Linked DNA regions of Schizosaccharomyces pombe. The gene in region 4 interacts genetically with the main gene of each other region. Each region holds a gene or a part of one and is shown on either strand. Other genes may lie near its edges.

Region 1 (5,406 bases), on a different chromosome or scaffold from region 4:
TTAGTTAACCGAATGAATGAATAAAAAAGAAGAATCACTCGACAAAAACTGAGTTGGTATTTTAAAAAAAAAGATAAAAAATTCCTCAGAGGACTATAAGTGGGCCTGAGAAAAAGCGTGAAATAATAACAAAGGGAGAGGAGCTCAATAATTTCTAATTCACCTTAATGTATATCAAAGTGATATATTAATGAATATGCAACGCACAGAAGGAAATGGATTTTTTTATGAAAGCAAAACGTAATAAAATAAAAAGTCACCTACAACTTTTTAAACGGATTTAGATTAATTACCTATTGGAGGCACAAAACGCGTCACAAAAATTAATGCAAAGACAAAGCCGTTCAAAAAGCAAAGAAAAGAAAACAGAGCTTTGAGAACATTCACGCGTTTAACACTTTTGAGAAATGACGGGGAAATTTTTAGGATGCTAAAAAGCGGAATTTTAAGACTTCCTGGTTTAATTACTTTAGCCAAAGAAGTGATCTAAGCTTTATAATTATTAGTAGTCGGTATTTTAGGAATCACTAGTATGCCGAAATTACGAAACTAACCGATCAACACAGCCTCTTCCTATACTTACACAATTCTTGGAATTAGTAGCAAGAATTAAAAGAAAAAGCCAACGAATATTAACCAAAATATATTTTTTCAAGGTACCAAACGCCACGAAATGCAGCTTACCTTCCTATGCGAAAGAATAGAGCGCTGAAGTATGGTGTGGTGTAGAGTGTCAAAGTCAGAAGCTGCGTTGCAGAACCATTTATAAACAACAACGCAAACCGTTCGTCCGTTGCTGTGATAGAGTGATACATAATATCAGTCAATTGCCTTTACCCGCTACATTACCTAGGAAATCGTAATAAACGAGCGTTATAATTTCATTACGTTACAAAACCACTGTATTAAATAGTAGAATCACCCAATTTTTGTAAAACTAATAAATTCTTAGCATATCACAATGTGAATGGAACGGTAGCTCCTATGTAAGAAATAAGAATGTTAAAGTTGGCTTTTAAGCAGTTTAGCAATTTTTCTGCGAAACTAGTAAGTAGATGCAAGGAAACTGGTTTCCACATTGTTTGGATTAACTCTACCTTTTCATTCATTGCTTCCAAGGTATTGTTTGTTTACGTACACCCTAACTTGACTTGAAAAATTTTAAACTAAAAAGTTGCTTTAAACATAAATTTAATAACTAATCATTATACTAAAAGACTATATGAATTGAATGGGCTTATCATAAAAAACATATAAATCAAAGGAAACTTTGTTTGCCAATTCCACTCTCAATAGCTTGCTCATTGCTTATTGATCTTAGACGTCAACTTGGCTTGCTCAACTAGGACACGAGGTGCATCCAACATAGGCATTACAAGCTCAACTACTTGAATGACATCTGCATTTGCAAACTCCTTGTCGCTAAACAACTTTTCAACGTCAGTAGGAGTTTTAACACAGTAAGTGCGGAAGTGGTTTTCAGCAGCTCCGAAAAACTTGGGAATCTGTTGGTAGCCCCATTTAGTGTTAATTTCGTTATAGCTAGCATGCAAACCATGAATTAAACGCTCAATGGTGTAACCGTCGTTGTTAATTATGAAAATAATTGGTTTGAGGTTATGGCGAATGCAGGTTGAAATCTCTGTAATCGTCAGTTGTAAGGATCCATCACCTACTACAAGAATGGTACGACGATCGGGCTCTTTAGAATCGTGGACGGCCAAAACAGCACCAAACATTGCACCAACGGAGTATCCAATAGATCCCCATAATACCTGGGAAATGGCTGTTACATCCTTTGGAAACCTGCAATCAAGGACACCAAAGTTTGCAGTTCCAGTCTCGGTGATCAAAACATCTCGGGGCTTCAAAAATTCACTAAATTTAGGCCAAAACCAGCAATGAGTAATCTCGTTGGAAGAATATCCTTCCGCATGCTTAGGCTTGATGTTGTAGCCAATGGTAGGAGCAGCCTTGGAATGACACATAGAAGCATCAAGTACTTTCAACAGTTTGCGAAGAATATACTTCATGGCTACATTTGGATAAAGAGCATATCGAATGCGCATGTGGTCTGAATGAAACTCAACGGCATTCTTTTGGCTGAGGTGGTAAGAGAAGGAACCCGTGTTAAAGTCTGATTTGAGAGCACCGATGGATAGCAACAGATCAGTGGATTCAATTCTGTCTTTAACTTCAGGATCTGAAATTGAACCAACATAAACGCCGTCAAAAAATTGCGAAGTTTCGTCAATTGCAGATTTACCCATGGGAGTTACATATGTAGGGAAATGGGTCAATTTAATCAGCTCATGTACTTCTGGAACGACACGATGTCTTACAGCACAAGCGTCAATTAAAATCACTGGTTTCTTTGCATTGACAACCATTTCCGAGATATGATTGATGACTTCTTGCTCAACTGCTGGATCGTTAGTATCCTCCTCGAGCTTTAGTCTTTTCCCAAGATTTGATGAAGATGCTTTGAAGTAGCCAGCATCAGAAGGAATACCAATGTAAACAGGCCTAGCCTTTTTATAACAAATCGACAAGGCTTCATCGATCTTTTCAGCTGCATCGTTTCCGTTATCGATCATTATACTGTAGGCAGAAACTTTCTTAAACATATCCATGAAAGTGCGAAAGTCTCCATCTCCTAAAGTATGATGAAGCAAAGCTCCAGTATCTTGCACCTTTGTGGAAGGCATTCCAACAATATGAACTACTGGGACATGCTCCGCATAAGAACCTGCCACTCCATTAATAGCGGAAAGCTCTCCCACGCCGAACGTTGTAACAATGGCTGAAAGACCATTAACACGAGCATAACCATCAGCGGCATAAGCACCATTCAACTCATTGGTATTGCCAACCCAACGAAATTTCTCATCTCCAACTTTCTCAATTAAGTCAAGTAGAGCTAAATTGAAATCTCCTGGAACACCAAGAATGGACTTGACCCCTAATTGTTCAAGCCTTTTGAATAGATATTCACCGACTAAAATATCCCCACTCATGTTTGATAATGCAATTTAATGTGCTTGTGAAATATACTCAACAAATTACAATGCTGAGTGTGTATTCCTTTTTCGCAAGATAATTATCTGTTGAATAACCAGCAGATACTTTCTGAACTTAAAGGAACAAGTGAGTTTGCTAGCTAAAAGTTAAAAAGATATAACCTTAGATGCTTCAGAGCAGGGTTACTCTGGCTATATAAGCAACATTCCGTCATCAATGATACATTGAGTTAATGTGGATTATTCTTTTTGAAACTCTTGGTACGAAACCACTCGTCAGAGGCTATTTCATTATTCGACTCAAATCTCACTATGTGCCACCCGGGAAAACGTCAACTATGCAATTTGCAATTATTGATTTAAGGCATCGTCAGCAGTTTATACTGGACGATTCTTCGGTTAGTGTAAGCAACTGCAGAAATTATTATGAAAACTCTACATCACCGAACGTTCCGTCTCGAAATTCTTAATTGTATCTATACCAAAGACAAAATTGATACCTTTTACATTATGTCTAAACTGAATTTAATGACTATTCCTTATTTCAAGCTTATTAATTTACATGCTTTATTGGTTTGTACCATGTTTGTTTGGATACTTAACATTGAGAGCTGAATGTGAAATATTGTTTCGTCCGTAAAAGTAAGGCGTACCTCATGGTTACGAGACCATGTGACCACTCAAAAATAGAATCCTCATTATTATAAAGTATCCAAAAGTCTTTGAACATATTGCTGTAATTATGATTTCACATGAATATTAACGACATTTTTCAACCGAGTTCACGATTTGCCTGACATCTAGCAATATCGATTTCACAATTGATGGACCATTTATAGGCTTCTTGCTTTAATTCTGATTATTTTTTTCATTGTTATATTGCTACAGTGTTAAGCTTCAACTTGTTGTTTTTCTGTTTATCATATTGATTTGCAAATTGTAACGCTCCTTGCTATCCTCAATAGTTGCCATGAGCCAAACGGTATAGCAAGAAGTGATCTCCAGCACTGGTTCCCCCACCCCCACATGATGTGTACATTTAAGAGGGCAGGTAACGCTAATAAATAGTATGATAAATAATACAAAATTACTGTTATAAAAATTTCAACAGATATCTAAAAAAAATTGATTTGATCATATCCCAAAGTATTGTAAACTCGCACAGGAGAATATTCTACCTTTAAAGATTTAGTTTTGTATTATGATTTTGTTTGACAAAAGTAATAGTCATGAGTAAATTGATTACTACATTTAATAAACAAATCTATATTCAAAATAGAAAAAAAAAATTCGCTACTTCGAAAGTGAAATTTAACAACATGAGACTTCAACCGAATTGATTTTATTTTTAAAGGAAACAGAACCAGAGCCATCAGAAAGACTCGGTCCTTACAACCGTTATGAACGGTTGTGGAAAACAGTATTAAAAAGAATAAAATCATGATAGCTACATATCATTGACATACACTTAACAAGGACATTGAAAAATGAGATTGGTGTAATCAACAGTAAATAAGTAAAAACATAAAGTTTGCACATATAGCCAAGAAAATAAATAAGCTAATACTTGCGAGCGACTTCAATAATAGTGCGAACTGGGCGTCCGCTCATGCCGTCACAATCCCAAGAATTAAGCTGCTTATCCATAACTCCGGCAATGTCTAAATGAGCAAAAGACAAATCTTTCTGGGCTAAGAAGCATTTAATAAAGGCAGCCGCTGTACAACAACCACCACCGGCACGACTAACATTGCACAAATCAGCATTTGAAGAACTTGTAAGTTGCTTGAGGTAAGCCTCGTGAAATGGCATACGCCAGAAAAGGTCTCCAGCATCATGGGAAGCAGTTTCAAGATTCTTCCACAACTCTTCTCCTTGAACAAATGCACCAGTAAATACATTACCGAGGGCTACTAGCATAGCACCAGTTAATGTGCTGGCTTCAATCACAGCCTTGGTCTTATACTGAGAAGAGACATAGTGAACTGCATCGGCAAGAATAAGACGACCCTCAGCGTCAGTGTTATCAATTTCTACACTAAGACCGTTGCGCATAAAAATAACATCTCCTGGCTTAGCAGCAGAGCCAGAAGGAAGATTCTCAGTTAAAGGGGTAACAAACACGGCATTCACGGGGATGGAAAGTTGTTCCAAGGCATAAATAGAGGAAAGCATAACAGCAGCACCACCCATATCAGCACGCATCTCCTTCATGTTTTGAGAAGGCTTGATACTGATACCACCGCTGTCAAACGTTACACCTTTTCCAACTAAACCAAGCCATCCATCATCTTTTGATTTTTCTTTACCAATGTATTGTACTTCTAAGAAACGAGGTGGAATATCGGAACCAGCATTCACGGTAAGTAAACCGTTCATCTTTTGC
Region 2 (5,694 bases), on a different chromosome or scaffold from region 4:
CAGATTATTGGGCGACCTTTTGAAAGTGAGGGTCTTTAGATGTTACAGCTGCAGTAGCTTCAATTACCTTTTCAAAAATACCTTTGTAGGCGGCTATAACACCGTTATTGTTCTTAAGAGTTCTTCCTACACCAAAGTCCAAAGGTTTGCCAAACATATCAGAAACAACACCACCAGCCTCTTCAACAAGAAGAGAACCACCAGCATGATCCCAAATTTTTTCTTCAAATGTCATTTTGGTTGGTAAACGAAGGTAGATGTCACCATCACCACGAGCAAGACTAGCGTATTTGGCTTGAGAATCCATCTTGGTAGGTCCACGAGTAATCCCTAAGTACTTTGCAATTTCTTCTTGAGTTCCTTGCATTGAATGACCAGCCTCTACTCCTTCGCAAAATTTTGAATCCTTGGTGTTTTGAACATCTTGCATGTGCACTTGAACTGGTTCTAATTTTTCGTTATGGAGAGAATACTGGAAGCAACCATGGTTACGAACAGCGGACATTATGATACCTTTGGGACTTGTCTCGGGCTGATTAAAGTCATATGGAAGATTAGGGCATCCAATGGCACTTACCACAGGTTTTCCATTCTCAATCAAAGCTAAACAAATAGCATACTGGGCACCACGTAGAAATCCTTTAGTTCCATCAATGGGATCCAAAGTCCACATACGACCATTGCGACCACCGTGATATGATCCTTGGTCAATAATGCTCATCATTTCTTCAGCTGACTTGATTTGACCAAGCTCTTTGTATTCAGTAGCATGTTGGATAGTTTCTTGAACTAATTCCCAAACACGAGAGCAGGTTTGGGTGTTTTCTCTCAAAAAGTCGGAATCCTCTTCGCCAACAATTGGATCATTGGGAAATGCATCTTTTAACATAGAGATTACGATAGCTTGAGCACCAAAATCGCCAATAGTCACAGGTGATTTATCATCTTTAGTAAGTGCCCCAGCAGCACTCTTCTCCTTGATAAGTTGATTAAACACTTTTTCGGTCAAATAGCTAGCTCTGCGCACAGCAGCAATAGCTAATTGTTTTTCGGCATCAAAGCTCATGGTAAATAATTTTCTAATGTTATTTATTAATGGAGGTATGATTTTAGCACCAAATTTCCTGTTAACACGGAGTTTGGAAATTTTTGTAAACCTGGGCAGTGGAAGTGCGAAGAATATGAAATCAGCATATACGGTGTTTAATTGACGTTTCCACATTTAACCAAAAATATTGTTCAAATAGAAGAAAGAACTAAAAAATTGTTATGAAACGAGAAAGAGTTTCATTTTTTCTGACTAAAAGACCTTTTTTTTTTGTAAAATCGCAGGTTATGCTAACTTTTATTAAACAATAATGATTATGTAGTTTCTATTGTGAAAAGAGCATGTTAATATTTTAAAACAGGTTTCTCCATGTCCACATTTTAGGTTTTCATTAATTATACAAACGACACTACTAAAGTCTGGGTATTGGCAAAGCAGTTCGCCAACCCTTCCAACCTATGGAGAAAGGATGAAATATAATATTAAGGAAAAAAAATATCATTCTGATGGAAAAAACGCATAATTTAAAAGCAGTGCAAGTCCGTATCTTGCGTTTCCCTTTAACAGGCAAATATGCCTAAAATTTTTATATAAGTGTAGATACCAAGGATGAAATGAAGGCATAAAAATATTTTAAAGGGATTGATTAGTAAAAGAAGAAACTGCTCATAAAATTTCCTTTCTCTCAAAATACTGTTGTTTGAAGAGACTTGAGAAATTAATGAACAATCAGATATTCCTCAATACAGATTGAAGAAATAGTTTCCTTATGGCAAATTACAATCATATGTAATATATTGTGATAACAAGACTTACATTCCATAAAGTCTAGTCGTTTTCAGGTCAACTCATAAATGTAAACAAAAGTAATACACCGTGACGGAACGTACTGCGTTATCAGATAAATGAGGTTCAGTCTAACGCGTCTTCTCATATTCAAACATAAACAAACATGAACATTTTCCCAATTGTTAAGTACTCTGTAGCTGAGGATTCGTATACTACAGATTCCTCCCATATCAACTGGTCACATTATTCAGATGGAGGTTTTACACTCTCATTAACGTCTGGATTGCTTCAAATTCGTCAACACGAAGAATTAATTGTACGCGACATGAAACCATATTGCTAGAAAAATTCAATATTTTTAACAAACAAACAGCAAAGTATAAACTTGTTAGATCTCTGGCACCAATTGATACCGGGAACGAAGGAAAAATGTCTAACTCTGCTTTCACGCGCTCCGTGTATGAATATTCGTGCTTTCACTAATAATGTAAGTAAAACAAAAGCAGATTTATTCAAAATCACATTGAGGCCTCTTTTTTTAAAAAAAAAAATGGAGTGTTGATGAAGCGTATTTTGTTGTTAATAAATTTAGGTGATGAAAAGATTTCAAGTGAAATTCCCATCTGACGTGCATTATATGAAAGCCAAAGTTGAATTTGAGAAGCTAGGCCTGGTGTTCAAAGATGCAAAGTCTTCCTCTGAGAAGAAGCAATTCAATAACTCCCAAAGTCAATCTAATAACTCACAGGAACTTTCGTTGATGAACAATGCATATAACAAGTCATCGGCGCAACAGCCAAATCTTTTATTACAACCGAGTTATATCCCCATGACCCAAACAGCAACAACTGCTGTGAACAATAGCACAAACTATGTCAATCCAGCACCACTGCAGCATGTCATGCCAAATGCTGAAATCTTCTCCAATACACCACCGCTTAAGCGATTCCGCGGGGATGCGGGCATGACCCAAATGCCCCTTCGAAGTGATACATCAATTGAAAGTATTACTGCGTCACAACAACCCACTTGGGATGAAAACGTGGTGATAACTTCATCACCTTTTAATCCCAATCGTAATGCCTACTCTTACGGTGCAAACTCACAATACCCCATTATTGCTGCTACGCCGCTGAACTCTCAGACACAGGCTTCGTGGGTTGCTCAACCGGAGAACCAAGCATACGCAAATTTGATTCCATCACCCCCAACGACTTCACAAATCCTACCAACAGAACTTACTGAAGAGGAAAAGCAATTACGCTCCAAGGTATTATTCTATCTAAAACAAGACAGCTTCATCCAATTATGTCAAAGTTTGGAACGGGTATGGAACAAGATGTAGGAAGACAGACCAATTCAACTTAATCCCAAATTTAAAAAAGTAGTAAAAATGGAACGAAATCAGGATCGGAATGGTTATTTCGACAAAATTGATGTGTGACCACAATTTGGCAACCAAATGAGAAACTTCATTAAGTTCACATTCTTCGAGTACCGTGATAAAACATTTGTTGCAAATTTTGACATTATTTAACGAAAAGTTGGTCGAGATCTCAACTGCATATGATCGTTGCTGAGGATTAGCAAACAGAAACCGCCAACACAACAATGTTGAAATAAATTTCTCTACTTGTTGCATGACTCTTTTCCCTTAGGCTTGTCCATGCAGAGCATTAAAATCAAATTGAGAAGATCCCGTTCCGATCCTTGGGGTGTAAGCCTCCACCACGACACATAATCGGTATCAAAAGACAACTCTGAAAACTTTTTGATGGGGGAATTGCCGCAAGTACAGCATGAATACTAGTGTTAATAATGGGTCAGGTTACAACGGTTAAAATTGAGTTGGTGGTTGGTTTTGATAATTGACTTAACAATCCACGAGAGGAGTTCATGACATTAAGTACGAAAATGGTCAAATAGTTAGTTTAACTTCAAAAATAGACGAACCAAGTGGAGAAAGTAAATGTTCCGAGCACCAAAAAAAAAACATGATATTTTTTAAAGGGATGAAACAGCTAGAACGTTATGAGTGTAAAAAGGATTTTTTTTTTTTTTTTGGGTACTTCCGAGAGAGACAACAGTCTACAAAGCTTCACAATGATTTCAATGTCCGTGAAGTAAACCTTAAAATGTCGAATCGACTTTGAAGGGTTGCATGCGAATTATCAAATAATGTTTAAAAGTGTTGTCAATGGAAAATGAATCCCGTTTCCCATTTCACTTAATCTAGCTTATCTGCCTAATCGGCACTTAAGGTAGATGGAAACCAGAGAATATTCTTTTTTCCTCAAAACAAAAACGCCCCCGCTAGTAAACCTAAAGACAATACCGACTAACGATATTGTGATTTTCACTTGGTGGAATTGGCGGAAATGTTTTCAAAGATATGAAGGCATAACCGGATCAAACGGTTTCGACAATGCTAATAGAATTCTCTTCACGTGGACGAACCGGTTTCCAAGGAGAATAAAGACATAATAATAAAATTTAACACTCCTTGTTTTATTTCGACAATATTTATTGGTCTGGTCCGAATTGTTCATTTTGGTAACTACAACATTACTCCCTATTTTTAAGCACGTTTTCATTACCCCTAATTGAAACTTGATTCTATCAACTTTCAATTTACCGGGGCTCGTTTTATTATTCTATTCTCACCATCATTCGATTTTCGCTTCATTTCTGTTGAGGGACTGCTTCCTAGATTGGTGTTTAACGCTTATCGCAACGCATGGAGTTGCATTTCATCCATTTTCTTTTGAAAATAAAGTGTGACCTCTTCTTGTGCCTAATATTGACTTGACTTTAAACACTGTAAAAATAAACGCTGTTTTTTAAAACCATCAATAACTTTAAATCATCGGTTCCTTTTTTTCTTTTATAACGAGGACTTTCTCATTAACGCACTCTGAAATGATTCTTTTCACCCTGATTTTTTTTATGCGATTGTATTTGCTCCTCACGATATACTATACTAATCACTATCGTACTTAAAAAATAGGCCGATCGTCCGAACCTCGTTTGTCTGTGCAAAAACAACTCTCGTCATTCTTACACAAAAATTTCGTTTACAGCGATACTACAAATTTTTTTCATAAGTTATAATGGTTGGTGGTAGCACATCTAGGAGTGTGAAAGCATCGCCGATATTGTGTTAGTGCGACAAGGCTCATCAAGGGATTAGGGAAATTTTTTCTTCAATAGTCTTGCTAGAAAATTACTCGGAATTTGAATCGTTGTCGATATTTTTTTTTCTGAAATTACAATTGTTCATTGTCTCTGCGTAGGTGCAAATTTCTGATTTGCTCTACAGCTTGTGATCTTAAATCTACTTAGTCAATCGACTCTGTACTATTGACGCCTGGGCCCCCTCACATAATTCAATTGCGATCTTTTTTTTTATTCTTCTTCTGTGGACTTAAGGTGCGGAGACTTTGGTTTATTTGTCTCCTCTTGTGTTTCTGTCAAGCCCGTGTGCTTGCATATTTTTTCAGAAAAATCCCGCATTGGTACTTAACTACTGTACTTGCTATAACACCTTATCCATTAGTCGTTGAGGTATATTTGTGCATATTCACTACACACTCATACACAACAGCAAAGGCGGCAACTCTCCGCCATCATTACTTATAATCAAGCCAACTCCATCAGCCAACCCAAACCACGGCGCCTTCAATTGATTTGTCTTTTCCTTAATTATCGGTAAATTTCACCGATTTGATTTAGTACCGCTTTATTCACTGTACGGCGTTAATTGCAAGCCATACCGCCTCCGATTTCCCTATTCTTCAATATCCTTAAGAAGGTTCGCCACGCTATTAAGAGCCTTGCAAAACGTGCATAAGTGGCTT
Region 3 (5,301 bases), 2.4 Mb from region 4:
TCATCATTAATAACAGGTGAGACATTGCACTCATGGGCAACGGTACCAACCAAAGCAGTACTTTTCATGCTACTAGATGTCTCTGATTCTCGGAAAACATAAGAATTCCTAACAAACTTATTCATTACGCGTAAATTATAAATTTTAGGGACGTCTGCATTTTCAGGACTGTTTTGAAGAAGTAATTGTATTTCATCATTCTTGACCCGAACACACCCTAGATTAGCGGCATCGTCTTCTGGAATTGAATTCCATTTGTCCATCAAAAACTTGGGAATTTTAACTAACCACACTCTTGAGCCAATTTGACCCAAATCTAAATCACCAGCATCGTCTTCATAGCGGTCATCCTCCTCAGTTCGAACCGTCGGTTTTTCTTCAGACATTTTAAATCCTTCAAAATAGTGAAAATTACTCAAGCAGTTTCCACTATTCAATGGTTCTTTCTTTAACAAGTTAAGAGAAAGAAGCATTGATGTCGCCTCCCTAAAGCAACTTTGATTTACGGTTCTTTACAAGCATCGCATAAATATTTTACCGAAATGTCATTGTACTTCACTAACTTATTTTAACAAACCGATTTAAGGTACGGAGTGAAGTCGAGAATTGCATATAGCCCTCGGTAATTTAAATTCACATAAAGTAATCAATCCTTAAAAACAAGTTTAGAATATTGTTAGACACTTTGGTATTTTAAAAAGATGTAGCTTTCTACGAGAAAAATATATCGAATGTTTAAGGGAGTACTGTTACAGAAACAGTTCACGTTGGATTGAATTGTTCGGTATTTCCTTCTTTTGAGCCTGTGAATGTCACCCTGGTCAAAAAATAATGTTATGAAGTGTACTGCAACTGACGGCGTCTTTACTTCCATTCAACATCTTGCCGTAAACAAAGACTAACTTGTCTACAGTCAGGATTTGGACTTTACGGTTTAGAAAATACAGTTAGCAGATGATTATTGAATACAGAAAAAATCACAACAAATGTAGCTGTTTGTTTTTTAATAAAGACATTTATTTCAAATGTACTTATGTATCCTAAAACATTACTTGAAAACATTAAGCTTTTCCAACGTCCTCTGAAAAATAGGTGAATTCCACCTTAAAATCTCTATCCACGACAAAAACTATTATCTCTTTTTCTTTAAGTTAAAAAACTAAGAGGTTGACAAAGTGCAACTGTCAACCATAAGTTTTTCATCTAAAAGATACATGTATTCATATACAAATATTATATATATATACATATATATGTGAGAAAAATAACCTAATTGGAGATCCATGTTTATGATGATGCAGAGAATAATTGACAAAAGTTTCAGTTTCTGCATTATTGGAATGGAATAACCATGTTTGGTGATAAGAAGATAAAAAGTAACGGAGAGGACTTCAAAGAACTAGGAATTACTATTTTATGAAATTAATATATTCCTCGACTTCATGTTTACTTCCAAGCCAAATACTGCTTTTTCCGTGTAATGTTTTGGGTACCAAATCCAGAATGCGATCTCCTTTGTCGTTTACCGCAATACCTCCTGCTTGTTCAACAAGGAAGGCCATGGGGAAACATTCGTAAAGAAGTCTCAACTTTCCGTTATTTCCTTTTGAGCATGGATAAGCAAACAACCCACCATAAAGAATGGTACGGTGCATATCGGCGACCATAGAACCAATGTATCGAGCAGAGTATGGTTTTTTGTCTGGTGTGCTTTCTTTGAGATGAGCAATAAAACGAGCGATTTTTTCATCCCAAAATGCAGTGTAACCCTCATTAATGGAATAAATACTATGTTGCAAAGGCATTTTCATGTTTCGATGGGTCAAGATGAATTCGCCAATATCAGTGTCCAAGGTGAAGCCATTGACACGATGACCTGTGGTAAGCAATAAATGAGCCGAAGCACCATACATAGTATAGCCAGCAGCAACCATTTCTTTACCAGGCCTTAAGACATCGCTAATATCGCCTTGACTGCCGGGTCGCAGTTTATAGATACCAAATATGGTACCTACACTAACACCGGCGTCAATGTTGGAAGAGCCATCGATGGGATCGCAAGTGACGGCATAGGAACCGTTGCTATCAACTACGATAAGATCCTCCTCTTCTTCACTAACGATGAGTTTGCAGCATCCGTTCGACTTCATCGCAGTAATGAAGATATCATTGCAAATTTTATCTAGCTTCTTTTGTTCATCGCCAGTGGAATTGACGATTCCCGATAAACCAATGAGATTTACCAACTCTGCTTTACGAATGGTGTTGGCGATGAATTTGAAGCTGAATTGTAAACTGTTTAGCAGTAATGACAATTCCCCACTAGCCTCTTGAATAATGCAAGGTTTTCCTTCTTCATTTTTATGCTTCTGATTGTATCGGCGCTGTTCCTGCAAAATAAAGGAGGAAAGTGTGACAATGTCAGTGTCGATTTCGTCGAGATCTTTTTTCATGATGGAGTAAACGAAACCTGAATCAACAAGAAACGGGGAATGAAGTTGAATAAGCTGGCCAGGTGAATCCTAGCTGAAGTAAGTTTTTAAGAAAGAGGAGCAAATCGGTTCTAAGTAGAACTGAGTTGAGCTGAGTTAAGTTGGGCTAGAAACCGAGTGGTGAGATGAGATGATATAATAAGAGACGAGAGAGACGAAGATGAAAAAATTAATAATGAGTTGTGTTGTCTCTCTCCAGTGTAAACAAAAAAAATCCTAACAAACGTTTCACCTTGACTGCTGCCCGCCACTATTTATATATTTACAAAAATCAACGAGCCATGATGGAAGCGCCATGTATTTCCCATGTAAACAACGTTTTGCCAGCATATGAAGTATTCGCTATGTTTAGTTCCGCGAATCATAAGCCTTTTAACAATCTAATCTTTAGTTGAATGGACAACTATGGCAAATCCCTATTTCATACGCCCACCTGAGTGATCCGCTTAATTAAAAATGCATACACGATAAACCTAATCTTCAAAAAACGAGGGGCTTGCAATGAAAACTACAGGGCAATGCTGTTTCAGCCTGCTAAACAAATGACATACTGCAATTCAACGAAGCCGGCTTACCAAACGATTGCTAGAGCGGACTCATTCCACCCTATTCATCTTTCCTATAATACTGCAAAAACGTAAATACGGGATGGGAAGGTTAGAGCTTGTATCGTATCGAGGTTTACGTGACTGAGAAAATGGCATGGCATGGCATGGCACTCCCTTAATACATTCGTAAAGGATTGAGAGGCGAGCATGACCGCTGCTTTCATCACCGACCTCAATTGCATACCCACAGCAATTACATAAGATCGACCCCAATTGCCTATGATTTGATGTCTAGCAATTGTGTATGATTGATCGCCATTGTGTAGCTGTAGGTGTTATTATGTCTCTTTAAACTTGAACTTGTTTTCTCGTGCTGCTTTGGTATAGTGTTGTACGTTTTAGAGCACACGAATACAAGTTCAAGTTTAAAGTGGGCTTTATGTGTCTTCTTACCTGTGTTAACTCAGAATCAACATAACATGGCTTATACAGCTAAATGGCGCAGTGTAGTGTGCTGGAATGCAGCAACGAAAATCAGAAATTGTGAAATTCGATGATGAGTACTAATGCTTTGTGACGTAGATGATTGGGAAGTGCTAAAGGTGGGTGGGTGGATGGAGTAGTTAGTAGGAGGAGAAATGAACCTTAAGATATAGAAAGAAGTGGAGAAAATAAATTCGTTCTATAATGACTGGTCATCCAGGTAATTAAAGAGAGGGAGAAATTTTTGAGGTTGATTGTTTTCATCCCGCCCTTCCTATTAGCAATAAGGAAATTTGGTGTTGTTTATTTAACGAGATTTTTCGTGGGTTGATGGTATGTGGCTTCAGAATGGGATAATAACCTTGCATTGAAAGAGCAGGATATAAAGCATGCTTCAAAATATGTGTGCTATTAGCTATATTTTAAAAGACGTGTATTTTACCACAAATTTATTCTTCACATGTAATTTTCATACATTCACTTTTATTCTTATATAAACTAATGTCCCGTGGAATTTTCACTAAGCTACTACTATATTTATTCATAGAACGAGAAACCACCCTTTGTGGACATTTAGACTATTATTCTAACTTGATTCACGTGCCGTGTTGGTAAAAGCATAAGTTCAATTAAAAGAGCTTTTATCTCTAAAATAGAAGCAACAAATGCGATGCGAGTAGGAATGAAGTCAATTCTTAAAGGTAAAGCTTCTACCAAGATAAACTTACATATGAGTTAATAAATATTATGGTTAGGATACTCAAATTATAAGATAGCTTTTTGAGATTGTTTTTTGTTTGTAATATATTATTTTTTTTTTTTTTTCCTGTTTCGTTAGATCGTTATTTATTTTATTTTATTGTACTGTGTTTATTTTATTTTATTGAATAGTTCTTATGTGTGTGTTGTCTTTTTTAAATTTAATATTAAATGACATCTTTTTATTTTTTTATTTTTATTTTTCTTTAGCTTCACTTAAACCAATTATTCCTTTTAACTCATCGTCCATATTAACTATAATGTCTCCATACTATTTATGCTTCCTTAATTTCAAATTTCTCATTAACATTAATTTTACATCTACATCTACATTTATATATTTTTTTTTTGCAAACCTACGTAGAGTAACTTTCTCTTTTCCTTCGTTAAAACGATATCAATTTTAATACGAATTTACTCATTGTATTTCCATCTTTTCTCGTCTCCTCGCTCTAATCCTTTGTCGCTTTGATTTATTTGATTGCACTTACTCCATTGAAAACTCTTGATTCCCCGAACCCCCACATCCATCCAGTCCTTGAGAGATGCAAGACAAGAGAGGTTCATGGACCCAAGTGGGGTCGATTTTTTTTGGAGTGAGTTCCTTTTGATATCAATTGACCATGCTAAAAGCTTGACAAAAACAAGTATTTATCCAAGTGAGAACTAATTCACTAAGTAGATAATTTTTTGTTAAAGTTAGTTTTATGAAACGTACGTTTACTATTTACTCAAAAAAATTGAACCGAGATATCGGAGTCAATGCTATTCGCGATTCAAAAGAAAGATCAAGTGTTAACAGGAGCTTGAGTCGAATTTTCATACACTCATATACCCAAAGAAACACATTAATAAACAAACACCTAACTTGGCGTTTGTTTTCAAATACTAAACGAGCGCTGACGTCAATGGCTGATCGATCTATAGACTAGCGAAAATAGCAATAATTTGTACAATTGGAAGATCATAAGTATACATGGGTTTGAGCTTTTAGCGTGCACATTTTCGTATCAATTTCT
Region 4 (5,525 bases):
TAGTGATAGCACTCCTTCTATTTTGGCTTTGACTCGTCAAAACCTTCCTCAACTTGAGAACTCTACTATTGAAAATGCTCTTAAGGGTGGTTATGTCATGTTGGAGAACAAGGAGGCCGATATTACTCTTGTCGGTACTGGTTCTGAAGTCTCTCTTTGCATTGACACTGTCAAGACCCTTGAGACCGAGTACAACTTGAAGGCTCGTGTCGTTTCATTGCCTTGCTGGGAAGTTTTCGAACAACAACCAGAAAGCTACCGTCTTTCTGTCATTCCTGACGGTATTCCTGCTATGTCCGTCGAGGTTTGGGCTACCAATGGTTGGAGACGTTACGTTCACGAGGCCTTTGGTATGCACACTTTTGGTGACTCTGGCCCTGCTCCCAAATTATACGAGAAATTCCATTTCACCACCTCTGGTGTTGCTCAACGTGCCAAAAAGACTGTTGATGCTTACAAGGATATCCCTTATATTCGTTCCCCTGTCCGCCGTGCTTTCTAATTTAGTAGCATTTTTTCTCTAGATTCTTTTAGGATTGATTTGCTGGCTTAGAATTCAATTCGTGCGGAAGGAAGTAGTTATGAGTGAATTGTGTTTTGTCTTTATTTGAATGTAAGTCTATAAATGTGAGCAAAATATGAATGCATAAATATATATATTTTTGTATATATGATATTCGACGATATAGTTGGAATTGTGAGTAGAGTATTACAATAATTTTGCATCTACTTTAGTCAATGTAAGTGCAGTTTACTGGCGTTTATAGTTGATGTATTACAAACTATTTTTATTCATATTTAAAATTAGAAGTAAAAAGTTGATATTTATTTAATAACTTTATTCAAACATTCACAGACGTACATAACTTTAGAGTACTTAATAATCAACACTGTTTTTCTAATCAAAGATAAACCTAGTAAAGGTATGGTAAGGAAAGGGGGTAACATTCAATTATATAAGGGTTGCTACTAAATCATGCCTAGCAGATTGCATTATTTTACGCAAGAAAGATGATTGAATCTTTAATTAACAGGAAAGTGAGGAGGAATCAAACCTCTGCTGCCATACCACTTACCATTGCGGACGGCGAAATTCCAGTAAACAAAAGGAAAGAAGTCCTTCTTAAGGTGATAAAACATGCGACGAGGTACAGTTTGGTCAAGGAAACGAGAAAAGCGACCGAAAGATTCTTTAGGTTCTTGTTTGTACAAGAATTCGGCCAAGATAAGCTTACCATAGCCAGTGAGTAGCGGGCATGAAGTGTAACCATTGTATGATGCAGTTAAATTCTTTCCATTAACGAAACTCCAAAGATTGTGGACCATAACAGGAGCTTGTGCAGTAATGGCAGCGTAAGTCTTACTAGTTGGCAAACCACTGCAATCACCGATAGCGAAAACATTGGGGAACTTGGTCGATTGTGTAGTAGATTGATCAACAGCAACAAAACCAGATTTATCAGCCAAATCACTCTTTGCGATAAACTCATGAGAACGCATAGAGGGGACGGCATGCAAAAGATCAAAAGGACGCTCGAAGAGAGAGCCATCGTTTAAATTCTTAAATACGGCTTTACGTTCAGATCCCTTAACTTCAACAAGCTCATCTTTATAATTAATCTTGACATTGCGATGTAATTGCTCATTTTGGCGAAGAAGGGCATCAGAATAGCGCTTAACCGAGAAAAGAGTAGGCATACCAGTGTAGAAGGATACATCAATATTGGAACGAACTTTATGACGACGCCAATAATCTTCAGCCATCCACATAATCTTTTGTGGAGCGCCGGCACACTTCAAGACACCGCTGGGTTGAGTAAAAATGGCATTTCCAGACTTGGTTTTTTCAATCCAAGGATAAACAGCGTCAGCATATTTTTCTGAATAGATAGTAACTACAGGGGTGTTGGGGTCATCCAAAGCCTCAGTTAAACCCTTGATTCTGCCAAAGTCAGTATAAATACCAGCTGCCATAACCAAATAATCATAGCTAATTTCTTGACCACTTTGAGTAACTATTTTGTTTTCACGAGGATGTAAGGATTTAACAAATTCAGGATGGAGTTTAAATTTGTCAGCAGGAACCAGGCTAGCCAATTCTCGTCTGGTCTTAGCAACAGAACTCAATCCAGCACCAGTCAAAGTCCAACCAGGTTGGTAATAATGATACTTGGCACCATCCACAATACCAATTTCACCGGGTTTGAGGGATGTATCTTTGCCTTGGTCATTGGCAAAGCGGTATTTAGAAAACTTGTTGTAAATTTGATGGGCGACGGATATACCAGCGGATCCACCACCAACTACTAAAACCTTGTGATGGGTAGAGGCGAATCGAGCCAACATGGAAGCGGACTGAAATGAGCCGGTGACCGACTTGATTGTTGAGTTTAAGGTCAACATTTTTAGTTGCAAAAATGCAAAAGAGAAGTGTTTTTTTAAAGGTAAAGGAAAAAAAAAGGAGGCAAAAAGTAGCCTAATAAAACACAAGAAAACAGAGGTTGAGCGGAAAAAACGCGTTTAAAATTTCAAGAATTTAACACCTCAATAAGTAAATCAGGAGAAAAGGAATTTTTAAAAAAAAAATTTTTGATTACAATATCAAAGAATGTAGTCAAACAAGCACCACCTTTCAAGTGTACTAGAATAAGTGCTAGTCTGTTTTGACTCAAGCGAAGTAAAAGAAAAAAAAAAATTTTTTATTTCTTTTATATGCACTCTTCAATGTACTTTAATTGTTCAAGAAACAAGCACAATTTAGTCTACCGGCTGTCGTCTAAAAAGAATGGTGTAGTGTACAAAATAGAATTAACGGAAGACAAGCCTATGTAGAAAATATTTGCAAATACAGTCGACTAATCAGAATTAGCAGCATAAGGTGTTTATATTCAGTCGATAACTCACGTCAGCTCCGAAGGCGTAATCGGTTACGCAATTTTGTCAAGTGCTTGCGCTTTGCTTGTGATTCCGAAATATGTGGCATAACTTTATTCATTTTAGGGGCAAATCACGTGGATTTGCTAAGTTTCATTAAAGTTTGTAAAGCAAAAGCTATCGAGGCTTAAGGAACTCATAAAAGCTGCTTAATGCATGTTTCCGTAAATTAATAATAGTACTAGAAGTAAGAAAGTGAATGATTTTGTGGGTATGTGTATTTTTAATTTTGCAAAAATATTCGTTTATCCCTAAAGTAGTACAGTAGCCGAAAGAATCCTTTATAACGTCCATGCATTTGTGCACAAATACAACAAAATTAGAAGTTTGTCAAATTGCTGTTGGTCATTTTCAAATAGCAAATAGCAAGGCGCTGAAATGTTAAGGTTGCTATTTTCTGACATATAACGAAAATCGGCTGTACTAAAGAGTAACGTGGGTTGGCGATGGACATTCTTTGCTGAAGAAGCAAACATTGTTCATAAAAAGTAGACTGATATTCTATTATGCTATAAAATGAATCGGCTCTTTTGTGTAATTAATTAAATTTTCCATATTCGGTAATACTACTAAACATTAGTATACACAATACCAAAATCAATCAAATCATACATAGCATGGATCGTTTGTTTAACATTGAAAAATTCCTTTACGCAGTGCGGAATCTTCAGTTGTTAGATTGAATATAAAGTTTTAGAACATATGACTCTTTTAACCAGATTAAATTTAAGCTTGACATGAAAGTACCTTTATTAAAGTAGCCCCCTGTTAGCAAATACCATGATCATCCAAGAAGGTAAATTTTGAAGAACGCCGTTTTCATAACCATTATGTGTTGCTGTGCAAAGATGTAAACAAACTGATTTTTCGATACAATAATATACCTTTAAATAGAGAAAAGCTAAAAAAAAAAAAAAAAAAAGAAGTAGTTGATTTATAAATAACCCTTTTTCACTAAAAGCAACCTTTAAGTAGGACATGTCTAAAAACAACACAGGTATCTCCAACGAAATAATAAAACCCCAAAAGGTTTGTGCAAAAACCTTCGGCAATGAAATTTATAAGACGGGATGAATGTACAGAATAGAATTGCAACCATTTTCTAGACCACGTGATTTTTGGGAAATTTTGGTGATGCATTAGATGAAGAAAAATAGAACATGAATGAAAGTCTACTTATACAATTTGGAGTAAATGATTAATTGATGCTTTTAAATTTTGTTTGACTTTGATTCGAATCCAATAGCTCATTTCCACCAAGCAGGAATGCCCAGTCCATCACGAGAACAGGAAGCCTAAATATATAGTTAGTAAATTCTATCGATTTGAGAGAAGCAGAAAATATTTTCTTGTATACTAGCAAATAGATGGTGCACCCTTCATAAATAATGACACAAGTTTCGCCCTAAACATAAAAAAAAAAACTTACAATCAATGTATATGGGGATACCGATTCCAATGCTTCTGTGCCTGTAATCGCGGTTGCATTTTTATTCCTCTTAGGTGAAATATCAACAAAGTCCTCAGATTCTATTTGAAAGCGTATTTCTTCATCAATGTCAAAATACAATTCGGTTCCCTCTGAGCCGTCCTCCCCTTCAATTTTCCATACCCAGGCACGCTCATCCGGACGAAAGACACATGGATCGAAAAGCATATCTTTCGGAATGAAAATATCGTCAAAAAAGCTAATAGTTACTGGGAGAAAAACATTAACAACAAGCATTTAAACAAACACATTTAACATACCCCGAATACCTTCTTCACTGCACGATTTTATTTTTCCCAGCATTACTTCACCTCGAAAAGGACGAAAGATTATAAGGCGGAAAACCACTAATCTAATTAGAACCATTTAAGTTTTTCTTTTCCACTGAATCACTATCCTGACAGCCTTTCGTATTGATAATGCGAATTGGCATATGAAATAAAGTGAGCAGACTTATACTTACCATTCATGTATGAAGAGCCATCTCCGTATTTAATTATTCCTTCCCCAATTTTCAAAAAATCATAAACGCAAATAGCCAGTCCAATGTTTTGTATCACTTTGTTAGCATACTTTTTATGGATTTCTTCAGCCAGTGCTTCCTTTGTAGGCTTCCAAAAATTGGATGGATGGATGCTTATAATGTCTGAAAACCGACTCAAGAGAAACATAAATAATAAAACGGCTATTACTCGTAGTTTTTACCACCTTGTAGAAAAAATCTTTAACTTGAATAGAACGATAAATAATTAGAAATACAACAGTGGATCACAATCCAATTTAAAAATATTTCTTAACCTTTTGGTCAACAACTTTGCATAAATCAAAAGGAACCTTTCAAAAAAGTAATTTAACTGCAAGCCCAGCTTTCTTTGCCAGGTCGCGTAAAAATATGAATACGAAGATTATGTTGCATACCAGACCATTCATGGCGAGTTAACGATCTAATGAAAAGCGTGTTAAACGACTTAGCGAGGCCAGTGAAGTTTTAGCGCAGTAGCTTTAAGACAAATCCATGAAATATTGTTTACAATTGAAAAATTATAATGAGTAGAAGTTTCAATCGCTTATTCAAACATACAAATTTATTACAGAATTAATA

The links.
Region 1: mutations in hmt2 (region 4) and pdc202 together harm fitness more than expected from each alone (negative genetic interaction), as found in Schizosaccharomyces pombe (one large-scale study listed by BioGRID).
Region 2: mutations in hmt2 (region 4) and rec7 together harm fitness more than expected from each alone (negative genetic interaction), as found in Schizosaccharomyces pombe (one large-scale study listed by BioGRID).
Region 3: mutations in hmt2 (region 4) and fbp1 together harm fitness less than expected from each alone (positive genetic interaction), as found in Schizosaccharomyces pombe (one large-scale study listed by BioGRID).

The regions. Positions count from the first base shown.
Region 1 is NC_003424.3:583,208-588,613, reverse strand, and holds pdc202 (pyruvate decarboxylase), read right to left. Parts: upstream 3,018-5,406; coding exon 1,302-3,017; 3' UTR 1,119-1,301; downstream 1-1,118. Other genes in the region: ysp2 (peptidase family M17 cytoplasmic leucyl aminopeptidase yspII (LAP yspII)), read right to left, coding at 4,581-5,406.
Region 2 is NC_003421.2:1,545,376-1,551,069, reverse strand, and holds rec7 (meiotic recombination protein Rec7), read left to right. Parts: upstream 1-2,000; coding exon 2,001-2,153; exon of another isoform or gene 2,154-2,210; coding exon 2,211-2,324; exon of another isoform or gene 2,325-2,429; coding exon 2,430-3,182; 3' UTR 3,183-4,019; downstream 4,020-5,694. Other genes in the region: tol1 (3'(2'),5'-bisphosphate nucleotidase/inositol-1,4-bisphosphate 1-phosphatase), read right to left, coding at 5-1,066. UniProt on the Schizosaccharomyces pombe protein: May be involved primarily in the early steps of meiotic recombination.
Region 3 is NC_003423.3:196,690-201,990, forward strand, and holds fbp1 (fructose-1,6-bisphosphatase Fbp1), read right to left. Parts: upstream 2,681-5,301; 5' UTR 2,454-2,680; coding exon 1,410-2,453; 3' UTR 971-1,409; downstream 1-970. Other genes in the region: transcription factor TFIIF complex beta subunit Tfg2, read right to left, coding at 1-386.
Region 4 is NC_003423.3:2,588,077-2,593,601, forward strand, and holds hmt2 (sulfide-quinone oxidoreductase), read right to left. Parts: upstream 2,858-5,525; 5' UTR 2,404-2,857; coding exon 1,024-2,403; 3' UTR 928-1,023; downstream 1-927. Other genes in the region: tkt1 (transketolase), read left to right, coding at 1-502; DNA-directed RNA polymerase III complex subunit Rpc25, read right to left, coding at 4,182-4,229, 4,364-4,632, 4,684-4,770, 4,887-5,094. UniProt on the Schizosaccharomyces pombe protein: Catalyzes the oxidation of hydrogen sulfide, with the help of a quinone.